3 linked regions of the Yarrowia lipolytica genome follow. The protein of the gene in region 3 interacts with the protein of the main gene of each other region in a pairwise test. Links are inferred from orthologs where the notes say so. Each region holds a gene or a part of one and is shown on either strand. Other genes may lie near its edges.

Region 1 (6,156 bases), on a different chromosome or scaffold from region 3:
GTCAAGCTGCAAGAACCCGTGGTGGACAGCTACGGCTGGAGCCACTCGCCTCGAATCATTGACTTCAAACGAACCACCAAACGGTCCCTTCCTTTCCCCGTCTACCACGAACACATTCGCCAGAAGCTTATCTTCTGGAGTTTTGCGGCTACTGTTGGTCCCCTAGCTATCACAGCTGTGTTAATTGCGTCCATGTTCTTCACCAACAACTCAAATCACCGAGTCAGCAAGTTTCTGAGAGAAGGAGACAAGGCACTCATGGGTGAGATTCTCGAAAGTATCAAGATGGAGACTTTTGACGAGGAGTGGTTGAATGAGGGTGACGAGAGGAAGGTTGGCGGTAAGGGGGAGAAGACTGAGAACACCGACAAACAATCCTCCCCCGTTTCTAAAACGGACGCGTCCAAGGTTGAGGAAGAGGCTGATGTCATGGCTGCTGGAATCACTGAAGCTGCCGTCGAAGACGTCATTCTAGGTGATGATCTTAACAACACCGACACGCCTGCTTTGTCGGAAACCAAGGTGGTCGGTCTGGGTGAAGCTATGGAGGCGGCTAGACACACAGGAGACCGAGGATTGCTGGCCAACTGGGCGAACAACGCGCCTTTCTCCGAGGACGTACTCAGCATGATTGAGAACATGGACAAGCTAGGCTGGGAAAAGTACGCCGTGTACATTACCGTGATCCATTCTCATGCTGCCATTGTTGCTCGACGAGGGCTTACTCAACAGGGACAGGGTGCAGCTACCCTGCGTCTCTTCAGCGAGATTATTAGATCCAAGATTTGAACACAACAATCTTGTTGCTCGCGGAAGCCAGACGGGCATGCTAACTTATAGACACACAGTATGACGTGGTAATTTATAATAGAAGTTTACAAAACACAGCACTACGACTATTCACACAGTAATCTACAATCAGTTCAATCCATCAAGTCATAATTATTTATACATCATAGAACGATTAGGCTAATCCTGGAGCTCAACAAAGTTGGAAGGGAAGAGGTTTCGCTTGCCGTTGAGCGATCCGGTCCACCAGTCCTCGTCGATGAATTCAATATCTGTGATGATATCGTCCGCCGCGAAGCTCAGTTCATTGTCCTCAGCAGCGTCGTAGTCGTACAGGGCGATGGCAGAGGGGCCAGTGCCAGCTCCGGCAGCAGCGCCGGCAGCAGCGCCCGGCAGCCCGCGGCAGGATCGGGAATGGTGGGCACAGCACCATCCTTAAGCCTGACATAGTTGGAGGGGAACAGACCGGACTCACCCTTGGAGTTGGTTCCGCTCCACCAGTTCTCGTCCAGGAACTCAATGTCGGTGACGATCTCGTCCTCCACGAGATCGATCTCACCCTCCTCATCCTTAGTGTAATCGTACTCCACGGTGGCAGAGGGCTTGCTGGAGACAACAGCAGCAGGAGTGGCAGCAGCAGCACCGCCTCGAGAAGGCAGGGCGGGAGCAGGAGGCTCATCGGCAGCAGGTCGAGATGGCATGGGAGGAGGAGGAGCGTCGTTAGCAACATGTCGAGCAGGCATAGGAGGGGGGGCATCATCGTCGTTGGCGGGAGGAGGGGCGTGTCGAGCAGGCATGGGGGGAGGAGCATCATCTTCTTCCTCATCTTTGGCAGCTCCTCGAGCAGGAGGAGGAGGAGGTCCTCCGGTACCAGCACCAGCAGAGAAGGCGGCCTGAAGAGCAGAGGCGCCCTTGGAGAAGCTGTTGTGCTCGTCCTCATCGTCGTCATCCTCATCAGCGGGGGGTCGAGATGCAGAGGGAGGAGGCGGGGGCACTGTTCGAGCAGGAGGAGGGGGAGCATCATCTTCGTCGGCAGCAGCGGGCTTGTTGAAGGCGCCTCGGAGAGCAGAGACAGAGACAGCGGGAGCATCGTCCTCGTCCTCATCATCGTCGTCGTCGTTTACTCGAGAGGCGGAAGGAGGGGGAGGAGGAATGGTTCGAGAAGCAGGGGCGGGGGTGGACTTCTTGGGCTCGTCATGCACGGCCGGCTTATTGAAGGCACCTCGAAGAGCGGAAACCGATGCGTGGGGCTCGTCATCTTCGTCGTCATCACCACCGAAAGAAGCAGGAGTCTTCTTGTCCTCCTCATCATCGTCGTTCACAGACAGCTTGGAGAACTTGTCGGATGCAGAAGAGACGTTGGAGGTAGACGAAGGCACGGCCACGTCAGGCTGGGGAGTCTTTCCATGCTTTTCAGCCCAGATCTGACCGGGAGTCTTACCGTTCTCAGAGGCAAAATCTCGGGATCCACCAGACACAATTGAGGTCTTGAGACCATACTGAGACGACAGATCACCGGCGGGGGCCAGAGGCTTGGTTCCTCGAGAGGCAGCGGGTGTGAATCGAGACTGGATAGCAGATTTGTCGATCTTGGGCTTGGGCATCTCGGTGAGCCGTCCAGACCCGGAGAAAGCGTTGAGTCGGTCCTTAACAGACTTGGGGGTCTCATCCTCCTCATCGTCGTCGTCTCCACCAATGGTGGTAGGGGGCTTCTTGGAGGGAGTGGGAGTAGAAGAAGACTTGGAGGGCTTCTGGAAGGCCTTCATTCTGTCTTTGAGAGACATAGGCTCGCCGTCCTCGTCCCCGTTCTGGTTGTCCTCATCCTCAACATCGGCGACAGGGGCAGGCTTAGAGGTAGGCTTAGGAGTGGCCTTGGGCTTGGGCTTGTCGAGGTCCGTCTTGATGGGGGTGTTTTCAAAGGACTCCTTGTGTCCCTTGCCCTGGGCTCGGATGGCTGCAATGTCAATTTTACCGACGGGCTTGTAGGAGCCACCGACAATGCCTCGATCTGAGTCGGCGTCTCGTCCCTCGGACGTGAAGGTCGAGGGTCCTCCCTTCTTTCGGATCTCGGCCAGGTCAACCTTGACGGGCTTGTAGGACGACTCAACAGGTGTGGGCTTGGAGACGGGCTTGGTTTCCACTGCAGGGGCGTCTCCCCAGTCCTCCTCATCGGCTCCAGACTTTTGCGTTGTGTAGGTGGGCTTGGTCTTGATGGCCGACGAGATTCCGGGCTTTCTGGATGAGGTGGCTCCGTACTTGGCACCAGAGGCTCGCTCCAGCCGCTCCAGGATCACATCCTCAGTGAGATCGTCTCGGTCTCGGGCAGTCACCTGGACGTGGTAGCCGTGGAAGAGATTTCCAAGGGCATGGAGATGGGGGTTGAAGACACCCTTGGCTCGAGGGTCGGGGACTCCCTCAGGACACCAGCCCACGTAGACAATCTTGGGTAGCTTCGAGTGAGGGTCGGGGACTCGGACCAGGCCGTATTGCAGCTTGCCCTCCTCGAACTCGTCGAGGAAATCGGCCAGAGTGGAAGTGTCAGACTCAGGGATGGCTGCGACCTTGATGGTGGCCGAGGACGCTGTGGGAGAGGTGGCATAACCAAAGATTGCCCAGGGGAACTCGGGGTCATTGCTGACAATGGCGCCGTACACGTCCTTGATCTGCTGGCCGTTGGTAGCTAGGTCGAGAGACATGTTGAAACGTGTGTTGCGGTAATTGGGTGTGTAAGAGTGTGTGTGTGGAGAGACTATGTACAAGTGGTGAGCTAATTGAGAGTTATAGACCAACCATGCACTGTGATGTGGAGTTTAAAGCTCGGAGCAATCGGATGGTGGAGCGGTTCGAATGGGTGATAGAGGGGTGATATGAAAAAAAGTAAGGATGAGAATGTGTTTGTAATGGACAATTGTTTGTGGTTGGGGGTATCATTCTTCTCTTGTATGCCTCCCCTACCCCGCATGAAGGCTGCTCTCTACCTGTACAGAGTTGTATTGTCTATGTCTCAGCACTACACCTCGTACTGGTAGTTACAATAAGCCAGACGTAGCCTAGATGCCGTCTCACGACCCTTTACTTGATTTGCAGTGACTGACAAGATAAATAGCAAGTGCCAGACTGTGAATTGTGACAACATGTCCTTGCTGTCCTCTTTTTCATTGTACTTGTTGTTGTACGTCTGGCTGTTCTGCATAAACCGGATTTTTGTCTGTTGCTATCTCCGGATGGACTTTCAAGCTCTTTCAAGCGAATGAACCACCCAATTGGGATCGGATTTAAGCAGCTTTATTGAGTCGCTCTTTTCTATAACTAGTATTGCTAGCCACTCTTTGTATCCCCAAAGGTCAGTGTACACAGCCCCCAGGAGGTCAATTTACGCGGGCTTTTATCCGCAACACCATCCACGCAGCACACATGTATGACGTATGATCAAACCATGAGTTGGAAATAGATGCTGTAGGCGATATGTACGACGTTCAAGTACTTATGGTCAATGCGCAACAGATAATGAAAAGTGTGAGTCATGCGGTCTAGTCACGATGAAATTTGAATCTCGCACGGTCTCTATTCAATTTGGAACTAATTGTAGTCTCTACTGTAGCTAAGCCATACGGCTGATATCTGTCTCCACTTGAGTGGTTTAAGCTGTCAAGTAAAATGAGGGATAAACTGAGTGTGAGGGATGTTCTCAAAATGTGAGTGATTGACTATATATAAGCCAAAATCTTGTTTTTCTAGCGATAGCCATCATGGCCGTGTCATCCTATTGGCCAGAAGAGAAAATGCTACACAATCCCTACAGTATGTACAGTACTCGTACTCGTGCAGTAGTTTACCCAATGTATTACAATATCTCATCGATAAACTCAGCTTTATCGCAACAATGGCATTGCATTTAAAGTGGGTGTGGTAAGAGTACAGTATGTACGTATTATTGTCAATTGAAAACACGTTTACATTTGACTCTTTCAAGGACAAGAAAGTATTTGAGAGATGAGTGCAATTTGTATCTGATTCTCATACAAAACGTCGTTCATTCCACTGAAAATACATCTTGCTGACAGCAACATTTCTCTCTCCACTTTAATAACGACCCACAATCCCTAACCCCTCCTTCACAGATGTCATGCGCATGAACATCTTCCGCCGTCCTTCGATCCACAAACTGGTGATGGTTGCGACAACAAGAACGCGAACCAAGCGAAGTCTGGCTGAACCTGAAACAACAGCGCCTGTGGTGACTCCCAGTACTCCCAAAAGACAGAAAACCAAGCTTGAGATCCCTACTACTCCCTTGGCTCCAGCCCCTAAGATTTCCCTGGCTGAGTCTATCAAGCTGATACCCAAGCTAGATCCTGTAACCAAAGACAACAGTCACTGGGACGAAATTTACGAATCAGATTTCTCCAAGGGCCTCAAGTACATTCTCGATGTCGATCCTTCTCTGGAGGATATCGTACACTCGTCCGAGTTCACTTCTTTTGTCAAAGAAGCTGCTACTCGGCAAGAGTCCAGAACCAACAGAAAGTGTAACAATTGCTTCGAACATCTTACAAGGGGCATCATTGGACAACAGGTATCTGGAGCAGCTGCCGAGTCGATTCTCAAGAAGTTCAAGAAACTGTTTCCAGTCGAAGGAAGCGAAGATGGCAAATTTCCGAGCCCACAGGAGATCCTCGACACCCCAACCGAGGCCTTAAGAAGCGCAGGTTTGTCTGGAAGGAAGGCAGAATACATCACATGTCTATCTACGGCCTTTAAGGATGGAACTCTGTCCGATGACTGGCTCAGTACTGCCTCCGATGACGATGTTGTCGATGCTCTGGTCGCCATCAAGGGCATTGGGCCTTGGTCAGCGGACATGTTTCTTCTCTTTGCTCTTAAACGAATGGATGTCTTCACATTGGGTGATCTCGGTATCCAGAGAGGTGTATCTGTTTACCTCAAAGAGCGTCCTCATCTTGCTGAGATCATCAAGCAGGTTGACTTTTCGCTCCCTATTAATGGGGTCCACAGTCCTGGCAAGTCTAAAAAGGCTGGCGCTCGAAAAGCAGCCAAGTCAAAGCCAGATACAAAGGGTAAATGGAGGGTGCCCACAGCAGATGAAATGACCTGGGTGGCCCATCGGTTTGCTCCTTACCGTTCAGTAATGATGCTAATTCTGTGGAAGATCAGTGATGTCAATACTGCAATTCTGGATAAGAAGTGAACACAGAATGATAGGAACCCAAATTGACGACAGATCAGACATCAACAGTAGGTACTTTACAATGTATTTTTATTCTCTGTATGTATGAAAAGATTGCGACTCCTTAGTAAAGATAGCTTGATCTCTTTGCGAACTATCAGTTACTTGTATGATCTCGT
Region 2 (6,361 bases), on a different chromosome or scaffold from region 3:
TTGATTCGCTTGGCCGGCAGTTCGCCATTCTCATCATAGCCTCTGTAGCTGGCCACGTCAAATCCTCGATGGTGGGGCATACTGACTGCTTTTTTTTGTTTTGTTTTTTGGCTGAGTCCCGAAGCTGGACGTCTTCCACTGATCTCTATATAGCCTCCCCTGTGGCTTTACGTAGGTTCGTGTGGCTTGTATACGAGATATTGAAGGGTAATTGTCAGATAGATGTGAGGGAAACACTTCGCACGGACTAATGGCTAGCTGGTCGACTGCGAGTCAATCCTATGAAAGCCCATGTTATCATCACCAACTTCAATTGACTACATATGGGCATTTTCTAGATCTCCAGAGCTTAGAGCACCACCTCCGCTTCTACAGCAGTAGAAATACCCCGCTAACTCCACCGTAAATAAAACTCTGATCTCTTCCCTCTATTACTTCTTATGGCACGCTATCTGTATCTCATGTGGTACGAGCTGAGTTTAGACCCGCCGAGTGAGTGGTGGTCGAACTGCACCAGCCAGGACAACGTGTGTGACTGCTTCTTCGTACCTTAGTAAGGACTTCAGTTCATATAAGCCCTTTTTAATGAAGTGACATCAGGTGGATTTAACTAATGGAGATGTTCGTACATCTATAGCTCGGTCGTTTTGTTTCATTTTACGGAACCAAGTTCTATACAGTGCGGAAAGTTCGCCAAAAAACTCCTCCTATGGACCAGGTCTGGAAAAGAGACGGAGCGCTACTGTGCTGCGATGGAAACATTTGGGCCACAGACACGACTGTATGGGGTACGAATATGTGGGTTTGGCACCTCAATGAAGGTCGCCCAACATGAAGAATTTGGCCAGTATGCAGCGTTGTACAACCAGAAGGGTTCTGTCAACGCTTGATAGACCTCAAGAACAAGTTTTATATGGATGTAGGTGACATGCACGAAAAACACTCATCACCTTGATAGGGGTATCTTATGAAGAGGTGAGAATCTACACCTTCTCGAAGTCTTGCCTAGCCAACACCATCATGGGCTACCAGAGAGACTCGGACTTGTTCACTATTTAACCCAGGAACTAATGTAACCAGATATAATAACTTATATAAATGCATGCACCTGCGTATCACCGTTCCTGTCCCTATCGTTTATTATCATAGCTCCAAGGGAAATGTCTCTTCTTCGGGCCCTTTGGCAACATTGGCATTGGGTGCATCCCCAACAGGCTTTCTAATAACCTCCTTGGTAGGTGCGACCTCCTTAGCAATCTCCTTGGCAGTTTCCTTGGCCGCCTTTACAGGCTTGGGATCAGTGACACCCTTCACCTCCTTGACAGCCTTGACTTCATTGCTCTCATTCACATCCTTCTTATCAGCACCTACGGGCTTCCGGGGCACCTTACTAACCACAGGAGGATCTGATGCGGGAGGAGTTTGGACAGCAGATAGAGGCGAGGCCTTGTGAGAATGGAATACAAGCGCTTCCTTGGGAGGCGATCCTTCTTCCACAGGGAGAGAGACGACAGACACTTTGTTCTCGTCTCGAAATGAACTCATCGAAGACAGAGAGTCTCGAGATACCGAAGTAGCTAGTTTGGCAGCCGACTGAGCAGAGTCGTGAGACGTACTCCGCTTGTGTGCATCGCGTGACGTCTTGGGAGCAACGCCGGACTCACGAGCGAGGGGGGAGTCATGCGACGAGCTCATCTTGGGAGCTACTCCAGACTCACGCGAAGAGCCAATCTTCGGGGAGGGAGCCAGATTGGGCGACGCGCCGAAAGAGGGCGACAAGCCGGACTCACGTGACACACCAAGACCAATGGGGTCACGTGACAGCTTGGGCGACACGCCGGACTCACGGGTCGGGACAGCAACAGGCATGGTGGGACTGCTCTGCAGGGTGGGAGACACAGAAGTGGCAGCTCGAACAGGCTTGCGTTTCACAAATTGGTTCTTGTCAGTATCGACAGAGGCAGTGTTTGATCTGGGAGGCAGGGCAGGAGGGGATCCAGGCAAAGTAGGCGATGCCGGCATTTCCATGCCGATTGGTTGGTCAGGGTTGGACAGCTTTCTCTTGCGTTCTTGCTCGTTGATGAGATCAATCATTTCAGGAGGGAAATGATGAGGTTGGGGAGCCTTCTTCTCAGAAGGCTTTCTGTGGGTGATGGCAGCAGCAGGAGAAAGAGAGACTGTGGCGTCGGCTGTGAGATTGGGCGCGGTCGCTGATCTGTTGACAGACGCAAAACCTCCAGCAGGCTTGGCCTTTTTGGTAGCCTCGGCCTTCTTCTCTGTGTACCAAGCGCCCCACTTCTTCATGGTGCCCATGAAGTTGGTGGTGGCGGTGTTGTTAGACTTGATGGAATCATTGTCAGAAGTTGTGGGATGAGCCAGAGACGATGTAGAGGCAGCAGCAGAAGCAAGAGTCGTTCCAATGGCAGAGGTGGTCGCTGCACTATCGCTTACTGCTTCATCATCTTCAGGGGACGCTCGGAACGTTCTATGTCGCATTCCAGCATGGATGGAAGGGGGAGGAGTTTCAGACAGAAGAGATTCGTCATCATGATCACCGATCTTCTCATCTGTCAGGTCCTCCTCCTTGTTCTCCATTTCCTCCTCCTTGCCCAGATGATCTTCCCAAAGTCCTCCTCTATAAGGATTGCCAGGTTGCGAAGGGAAGAAGTTGATGTCTTCTGTGAACGGCAAAACAATGCTTTCCTTGACAATCTCGCGGATCTTAGACTCAATTACGTTGGTGACCATGGAGTAGGTGATTTGTCGCGCAGAAACGACAGGCTCGACCTTGAGACTCATCTCAGGCATGGACTCAAAGCCCCACCAGATTCGAGTGGAAGGAGGAGGCTTGACCTGGAATACAACAATGCCCTCCATCTTCGAAAGAGTCAGACGAAGCACCAGTGTCACAGGTCGAGGCTTGATGTTGATGAGCTTCTGGCCAAAGTTGAAGGTGGCCTTGGTTGAAATCTCAATTGTATATCCTCCGTTGTACGACAGATGAGCAGCCACAACAAGTGTTCCGTCGGGCTTGAGCTCTCTAAGTTTAGGTGTCGTTAGGAAAGGAATAGAGGTACCCACGTTGATCTTAGTGACTTGGATCTCACTCAAGAATGCTGGTCTTTTTACTCGAGCGAGCTTCTTGACTATTTTTTCTTCGAAATAACCCCGGAACGCATCTGTCTGGTATGCCGCCATGAACATTCGGGCAGTGATGGCATTGAACCAGGCCGTCTGCAAGTTTTCGTCCGAGGAGTGCAATTTTTGAATAATGTTAATCATGTCGTGATGGTCAAACATGAGAGCCTTGCCCTTCGGCGAGTTCTGGCACGTGAGCTCGACGATTCGGAAGTAAAGATCTTCCTTGAGCGAGCAGTTTTCCAGAAAGATGTAGTATGTGAGATCCTTTTTGATGTGTGTCAGACAGACCGCCACCCGCTTGGCCAGCAAGTTGGCGTCGGGCAGCTCTGGATACAACTGGACCTTGTACTTGTTGAGAACAATGGCGTGTTGCAGATCGCGCTCCTCGGACTTGTACAGAAACAGGTTGCCGAGCTTGAGCTCAGCATAGTATCGAGACTTGACTGGCTTTGGTTTTGTGGTGGTTGTGTTGGCGGTGGCTGTGTTGGCTGCCTGGATTGCCGGATTTGCGTCCTTTGAGGCGCTGTCGTTTATGTTTGTGTTGCTGGCGTCGCCGTTTCCATTGGCCAGCTTGTAGAGCGATGTGTAGGCTGAGGGATTGTCCTTCTTGTCTGGCACGTCGCCTGAAGGGTACTCAAAGTACTCCTTAGTAACGGTTACCCAGCCCGAGAAGACGGGTTTCTCGGTCACATTGGTAGGAATTAGCGGTTCGGTTTCGTACTTCTCCTCCGCCTCGAAATCCGGGTCACCATCGGGGGTTGTATCACCATCAATGTCTCCAGCATACCTCCACAAAAGGTATATCAAGCCGGGCAGAAAAGTGAGGCCTCCAAAAAGGTAGACACAGAGAATGAAAAGCATCACGTGACGTAATTCGGCCGGACCACAAGCGCAGACGTAGTGTTGAACAGGTCTGTGTTCTGTGTAGTTGAAGGTGGATGGAGTGGTACAAGTTTACTGTAGCTACGTACGTATGTATGAGTACTGCTACTCCAGAGTAGGTTTATGCTCATGCGTCTGAGACGTATTGCCACTAGATATGGGGATGGAGTTGTAAGAGGACGGTGCAGGGTATCTGGCGATCATAGAGGCTTGTAGATATCATTAACTAGTCTTTCTGTGAAAAACGCACTTTTCTGCTTCTTTATATCTCTATTCTAGCATGTTTCAGTCGCTCTGAACACTGTCGAAAATATGACAGCGTAAGCTAACTTTAGTATGGTCTCCATAAATAAGGAACTCGAGGAAATAAAGGCCCCTTAGTTCGTTCTTTTAGTACTATTGGAGGGGTAAGATAATGGAGGAGGGTGGTGCTTGGGGTTTTTTGTGTGTTTTCGGGGCTTTTAATGGCCAAAAAATGTCCAATATCCGTCTCAATCGTCTTTCTTCTGCTCGTCAATAAGCGCGATTTATTTCCGGTCTATGTACTGATCGTCGAAGATGAAAAATCCGCGGAAAAAATCGCAGAAATTCGGGGAAAAAAGGGCGTTAATCGTTGAAATTACCAATAAACCGTGGAAGAAAGATTGAGAGGCATTCGCACGTGTCGCTACGGACCTGGTCGTCACTACATCAAACCTCTTCGGGTAACCCCAATCGGATTTAAGAGCTAATCTTCTCCGAGAATGGTCTGAGTTCGGAATGACGAGAAGCTTGTGGCGTATTAGATGTGGTTTTTGCAGCAATTATGGACCGGCGAGGGCGATTGTGGGACGTGTACCGGGCAGACGAAGTGGAATAATTGTCTGATGCAAGTAACTTGCTCAACTATATTGCTCACCATAGAAACAAGGTTACTTGGGCTGCACCTTTTTGGGGGGAGCATAGCGTCAAGTAAAGGGTTAACTGAATAACACTTCAATAGTTGAATTTTACTTAACGAAGTGAGAATCCTTCTCTGCACGACTCCATAGGAAATATTGCAGAACTTGGAGGTGAGGAATATTGTAATCTGATGATACTCCATCCACCGGACAAGTCGCAGATTTCTTAAATCGTCATTTAATGTTGACAGTGCCCTCGTGTCCATCAGAGGTCCACTCGCACATAACCCAATATGATCGAAACGAATTTAACTAGTCAGTCTATTCTATATCGTGTCTATGTTATATATCGGTCAGACGGATTGGGCCTTGGGGTTGTTTTTGACCCATCGAGCTCTCAACCATCGTGCAATGTAGACGAGAGCCAGCAGAACGGGCACCTCGATGAGGGGACCGACGGTTGTGGCTAGAGCCTGGCCACCCTGGGTTCCAAAGAGAGAAGCTGCAATGGCGATGGCCAGCTCAAAGTTGTTGCTGGCGGCTGTAAAGCTCTGGGTCACCGAGATGGCATAGTTGACCTTGCCGACCTTCAGACAGTAGAGCATGGTTCCGGTGAAGGTGATGAGGAAGTAGACGACCAGAGGGGCCGAGACTCGTAGCACAGAGATGATCTGGTCCACCACCCTGGCTCCCTGAGATGCAAAAAGGACAATGATGGTGTAGAGTAGAGCGATGAGAGACAGGGGAGAGATCCACTGGATGAACTTGTGCTCGTGTTTGCTCCAGTTGGGGATCTTCTTGAACAAGAACCGGGTAATAAGAGCTGCGGCCAGAGGAATTGCCATGAAGATGGCTACGTATTTGGTCACAGAACCGTAGTCCAGATGGCCGACATGGGGGTCATGGTTGTGGTTTTGAGATACGTAGTTGACGACAAAGTATGCAAGAGGAGGGAAGAGAATGATCTGCAGAATGGTGTTGAAAGAGACCAGCACGGCGCAGTAGAAGCTGTCACCAAAAGCCAACTCGTTCCAAATTAGAACCATGGCAATACATCGGGCAATGCCCACAATCATGAGACCTTCTCTGAGTTCAGGCTTATCTGGCAAGAAGGCCCATGAGAGACCAAACATGAGAGCAGGAGACACGATCCAGTTGATGATGAAGGAAATAAGCAGTTGCTTCCACATGGCCCGGGTTTTGAGAGCCTTGGGAAGATCTTCAAACTCCACTTTGCACAGAATGGGATACATTGTGAGCAAGAGTCCAATGAAAATGGGCACTGAGACTCCTGTGAAAGTTGTACTGTTCAAATTGGGACCCGCCGAGGGCACAAATTTGCCGATAATGATGCCAATTGCCATTGCCAGGAACACCCAGAGAGGCAGAAGGGTTGAAAGCCAAGGAAGACGGGGATTTGCCGGTGATGGAGTCTCCGAGACAAACTTGTTGGCATT
Region 3 (4,772 bases):
ACATGCACAACTTGGACACGGCAGGAGACCGCCAGATGAACTTGTGTGTGTAGATACACAGACACAAAGACATAAGCCCCCATAGAGAGATGAGTAGAGGGATTAACACGTCCATAGGTATATCATCGTTGGCATTGTCGTATTGGGAGTCGAATTGTTCGTCGTATAGGTTGTCGTATCGATCGTAACCATCGTATACATCATTGCCGCTCAACAGGTCATCTTTCGCAGTACTTGTACCACCTCCATCGCTGACTCCCATGATGATGATCCAAATGCATCCCACCCCACCATACTTTGCATATGTATCACTGGGGTTAGGGTAGAAGCAGGTAGTGTCGGGGTTTCGGGTTGGTTTTGTGGTTGTTTCGGAGGTGGTTTCCGGCTGTTTCTGGTGTATAGTTATTTTTTGAGATTTTCTGGGATTTGTGGGAGTCTTGGAGTTCTGTATGATGATTTCTGTGTATTTTGTGCTGCTTCTAATTACAGTGTATGTTTGAGAGCGGTTCAATAAAAAACAAAATACCCAATAAATCAATAAAAACCACATAAATACAATATTAGTATGAGAAAATTCGGCAAAAACTAACGGATATTCTCCAAACTCCTTACGGTCACGTTATCTCAAAAATGGTCGTTTCGGAAACATCCCTCCATATATGTCTCGATAATTGGTGCTAGTGGAACCATAATTGAGGTATTAGTTAAGGGAAAGTTTTGCGAGACATACTGGGGGTTTTGGTGAGTTTTTGGGGGCGGTGTTTGGTGTCGGACGCGTCGACATGAGCTCAGTATCAGTATGGACGTGTCTGATTGGTTGAATTGTAAGAATGTGCGGAGTAGTGTGCAAAATCGATGAAGACCATAAAACATTGAAGAAAAAACTGACAAATAAAATTAAATAAATGAACATAAAATAAATGAAAATAGATTAAAAAAAAAAAAAAAAAAAAAAAAAAAAAAAAAAAAAAAAAAAAAAAAAAAAAAAACACAACAACCCACAAACGCCACAAACGCCACAAACGCCCACAAAACCACCCAAAACCGGCCACGAAACCACTTGCAAAAAACGAAGCAAATATCCACCCTACACTTGTATCTCTTGTCCGTTGCCAAGACCAATAGGGCGGAAGATTAGTGTTTAGGATGGGGCTGAGAATGTCAATGATAAGCGATGGGGACTGAAAAACGCGTGTGGAAAGACGGGGAAAAATAGGAAAAAATGGAGAAAATTGAGGAAAATAACGAGCAGAATGTATCCATCTTTTCGGTATTTTCATTTTCCTTCTCAGACCATTACTCGTCGCTTCATTCCGATGCGATTGTGGCACATGTCTTGTTTAAGACAAGGTGATGCGGTGCATAAGTGGGGCCCTGATGGTCCCCCGTTGGAGTCTTGGGGGCAACCAAGGGCGATTGTTGGAGCCGTCAACGGTGCTTGATGACCAGGACCAGCAACACCGGCTTTTTTAGTCGCCGAAAAGCCGAAAAACCCGGCCCACTTTGCTCCGCTCAGCCATCGTGCCATGCACTCATTCTTACATGCGGCATCACTGTCTCACGTATAATTGCAGAGTTTGATTAAGCTGTTATCTGGTGGAGTATGATGCTGGAGCGGATAGCTAGCGGTATCTATAGACGGAGAGTGATACAAGTCGTGCGGCTACTCAAAGTCGGCATTTGGACGACTTATATCCCAGACGGGAAGGCGTCACGTGATACCACTGCTTGGTGTTTCGTCTCCTCTTGTGACGCAATACGACTTGCACGCACGATACCCAACTGTCATCTTACCATACATACTGTACATCACCACCACTAGCACGACACTAAGAGCATTAGCAGGACGATAGCGGGCTTTTTTTGGGTGGAGAAAAAATAGCAAAAAAAAAAAGCGGCGCGTGCGACGACAGCAACGATATCTGTCGTCTTTGTTTTGGGCCGTTTTGTGTGTGCTTTGTTGCCACCGGTGCCGGTTCACCACCTCCGCAAAGGTTACCCGGCTGAGACATTTGGAGCACAGGTTGGTGCGTCACGCAAGCTGGTCTAAACACAGTGAGTAGCAACACACACTACATTATCCCACCCACTCCACGCCACGTGTGGTGACCTGTTTGCGCCATGTCTATGAAAGGAATCACCAAGGGCATCGCCCGAGCGCCTCAGTCGTTCAAGGCCAAGTTCAATATTGGGGAGCAGACCAAGGATCTGGTCTACATTGACGCCGAGAGGCGGTTCAAGGAGCTCGAGAAGGAGACCAAGAAGCTGCACGAGGAGTCGAAAAAGTACTTTGACGCGATCAACGGCATGCTGGAGCACCAGATCCAGTTCTCCAAGGCGATTGAGGAGATCTACAAGCCCATTTCTGGACGGCTGTCGGACCCCAACGGAGCCATTCCCGAGGGCAACCCCGAAGGTATCAGTGCATGCGAGCAGTACCGTGAGGTGGTCAACGATCTGCAGGCAACGCTCAAGCCCGAGCTGGAGATGATCGATTCGCGAATCATTGGCCCCGCCAACGAGCTGCTGGAGGTGATCAACTCGATTCGAAAGATGGCCACAAAGCGTGCCCACAAACAGCTGGATCTCGACCGACACAACAACTCGCTGAAAAAGTACCAGGATAAGAAGGAACGAAGCGTCAACGACGAGAAGAAGATGTACTCGGCCGAGTCAGCCGTCGAAATCGCCCAGCAGGAGTACGACTACTACAACGACATGCTCAAGGAGGAGCTGCCGCAGCTGTTTGAGCTGGAGGCCCAGTTCATCGCTCCTCTCTTCCAGTCCTTCTACTACATGCAGCTCAACGTCTTCTACACCCTCTACATCCGCATGGAGGAAATGAAGATTCCCTACTTTGACCTCACCAACGAGGACATCGAGGGCGCCTTTGCTGCCAAGCGGGGCGACGTTGCCGAGCGAACTGAACAGCTCTCCATCACCCAGTTCCGAGTCGGACACGCCCGTGCCAAGCTCGAAATGACAAAGCGACGGTTTGCAAAGGACAAGGATAAGGAGGCCGCTGCAGGAGCTGCCCCCGTCGCCGGTGCTGCGCCGCCCGCTTATGGAGGCGAGGAGGCCGCCGACCCTGCTGCAGCTGCCGCTGCCGCTCCCGCCGCGTACACCGCCACCGGCTACCCCAACGAAAAGGCCGTGTACACGCCTCCCGGGGCTCCTGCAGCCGCCGCTCCCGCAGCTGAAACCTGCACCGCCCTGTACGACTACGAGGCGCAGGCTGCTGGCGACCTGTCGTTTTCCGCCGGACAGGTCATCACCATTGTTCAGCGAACCGCTGACACCAACGGTTGGTGGACGGGTATTGTCGGGGGACACCAGGGAGTGTTTCCTGGAAATTATGTTCAGTTGAATGCGTAACCGCAGCGAGCGAAGCGAAGCCAGGTTGTTTGTGATCTGGCCTTGGTGGTGAGCCTGAATTATGATTTCACCGCCATCACGGAACTGCACTTGAACGGGCATTTAATAGTAATGAGATATGTATGCATTGGTTTTGGTAGTGTAGGAGTTGGTAGGATATGGAGCTCTAGAACAAGTATGTGTCTAGAGTGAATGGATATGTCCCTAACAGCTTCAGACTCAAGGAAGATGACAGAATGATCTGATACCACGAGCAAGAACACACTTGAGACATGATGACATTGAAAGTCGATTCAAGGTGTGTCCATTCTACAAGTAGTTGATATGTTAGGAAGTATGGGACTATTTTAACGAGAAATGGAACTGCTCGAATGATATGATGAAGTCTGTGCGAGTCCACGGGTCGTATATACTTGTATACTCTTCTGGATGCTCATCCAGTTGCCCTCCTTTCCAAGAATTACATACTGGAGCACATAGTGTAGGTACATGTAACAAATAATGCCTTCTAACAAAAAGACAAGACAAATTAATGACAAGGGATGTCTTTTCGGGACTTGCCAGGTGACTATGGAGTTGCTGGCGGTGTCCACGATATCTGACGATGGACGAATGTAGTCGCATCACTCATGCAGAGATAATGCACCTCCGTAGAAGATCGTTGGGTTGGTGGAACGAGTGGGTTTGATGTGGGGTTGGAGCATGGACAAGAGTTTGAGGTGATGGATTGAGCAGTCCAGTTTTTCTGTCAATCTTGGGTTTTTTTTTCTTTCATTTTTTTCCCATTTTTTTTCAATTTATCTGATTTATTTTGATTGTGGAAAAAATCGGAATAATTAGTTAAAATACTCTAAAACACCCCATGGCACGTCTGAGGCTCCGCTACAAGTACGTTCATGATGTTCACGAAAGGTAACCGTCTTTCTTCGAATACACCGATCCCCACTGCTTCGACAAGTTCTACATCATCGGGTCATGTTTCACCGAGATTGCTGCTCAGCTGCCACCGACCCCCGTGTCTCTCAGCCCCTTGTGCAGCCGGTGGAGCAGCGCAGCCGCTTTAATTAACTGTCTTAATGCGTCGTCTTTCCGTCTCCAACAGTCTCGAGTCGGCGTTGCTTTTTTTAGCGCTTCATAACTGCTTCGCTCGCTTCGGAACAAGCGTGAGACATATTCATAGATCATCACAATTAGGGGTATAAATAGAAACATTTTGAGACAGGTGAACCAAGAGATTGACACGAGGATTGACAGAGGTGATACAAGGGCTCAAATGGAGGAATACGACCCGAGTGTGTGTTGGGTCAGCGTACTTGCACGATACAGCAAGTCGGTACAATACCGTGCAAGTCGGCACAATACCATGCAAGTCGGCACAATACCGCACAAGTACCGTA

The links.
Region 1: the proteins of YALI1_D16981g (region 3) and YALI1_B18645g interact in binary tests that used the Saccharomyces cerevisiae proteins (3 or more experiments, as listed by UniProt). The link is inferred for Yarrowia lipolytica from reciprocal best matches to the Saccharomyces cerevisiae genes RVS167 and ABP1.
Region 2: the proteins of YALI1_D16981g (region 3) and YALI1_C10016g interact in binary tests that used the Saccharomyces cerevisiae proteins (3 or more experiments, as listed by UniProt). The link is inferred for Yarrowia lipolytica from reciprocal best matches to the Saccharomyces cerevisiae genes RVS167 and NVJ2.

Annotation. Positions count from the first base shown.
Region 1 is NC_090771.1:1,861,924-1,868,079, reverse strand, and holds YALI1_B18645g (uncharacterized protein), read right to left. Parts: upstream 3,486-6,156; coding exon 1,089-3,485; downstream 1-1,088. Other genes in the region: YALI1_B18687g (uncharacterized protein), read left to right, coding at 1-789; YALI1_B18631g (uncharacterized protein), read left to right, coding at 4,916-5,998. UniProt on the Saccharomyces cerevisiae protein: Regulates ARP2/3 complex-mediated actin assembly. Recruits ARP2/3 complex to sides of preexisting actin filaments, which may promote nucleation or stabilization of filament branches. Binds to actin filaments, but not actin monomers.
Region 2 is NC_090772.1:997,660-1,004,020, forward strand, and holds YALI1_C10016g (uncharacterized protein), read right to left. Parts: upstream 4,003-6,361; coding exon 1,144-4,002; downstream 1-1,143. Other genes in the region: YALI1_C09977g (uncharacterized protein), read right to left, coding at 1-80; YALI1_C10041g (uncharacterized protein), read right to left, coding at 5,258-6,361. UniProt on the Saccharomyces cerevisiae protein: During endoplasmic reticulum (ER) stress or when cellular ceramide levels increase, induces contacts between the ER and medial-Golgi complex to facilitate non-vesicular transport of ceramides from the ER to the Golgi complex where they are converted to complex sphingolipids, preventing toxic ceramide accumulation.
Region 3 is NC_090773.1:1,695,521-1,700,292, reverse strand, and holds YALI1_D16981g (uncharacterized protein), read left to right. Parts: upstream 1-2,121; coding exon 2,122-3,375; downstream 3,376-4,772. Other genes in the region: YALI1_D16997g (uncharacterized protein), read right to left, coding at 1-550; YALI1_D16990g (uncharacterized protein), read right to left, coding at 795-1,280; YALI1_D16959g (uncharacterized protein), read left to right, coding at 4,238-4,276, 4,334-4,513. UniProt on the Saccharomyces cerevisiae protein: Component of a cytoskeletal structure that is required for the formation of endocytic vesicles at the plasma membrane level.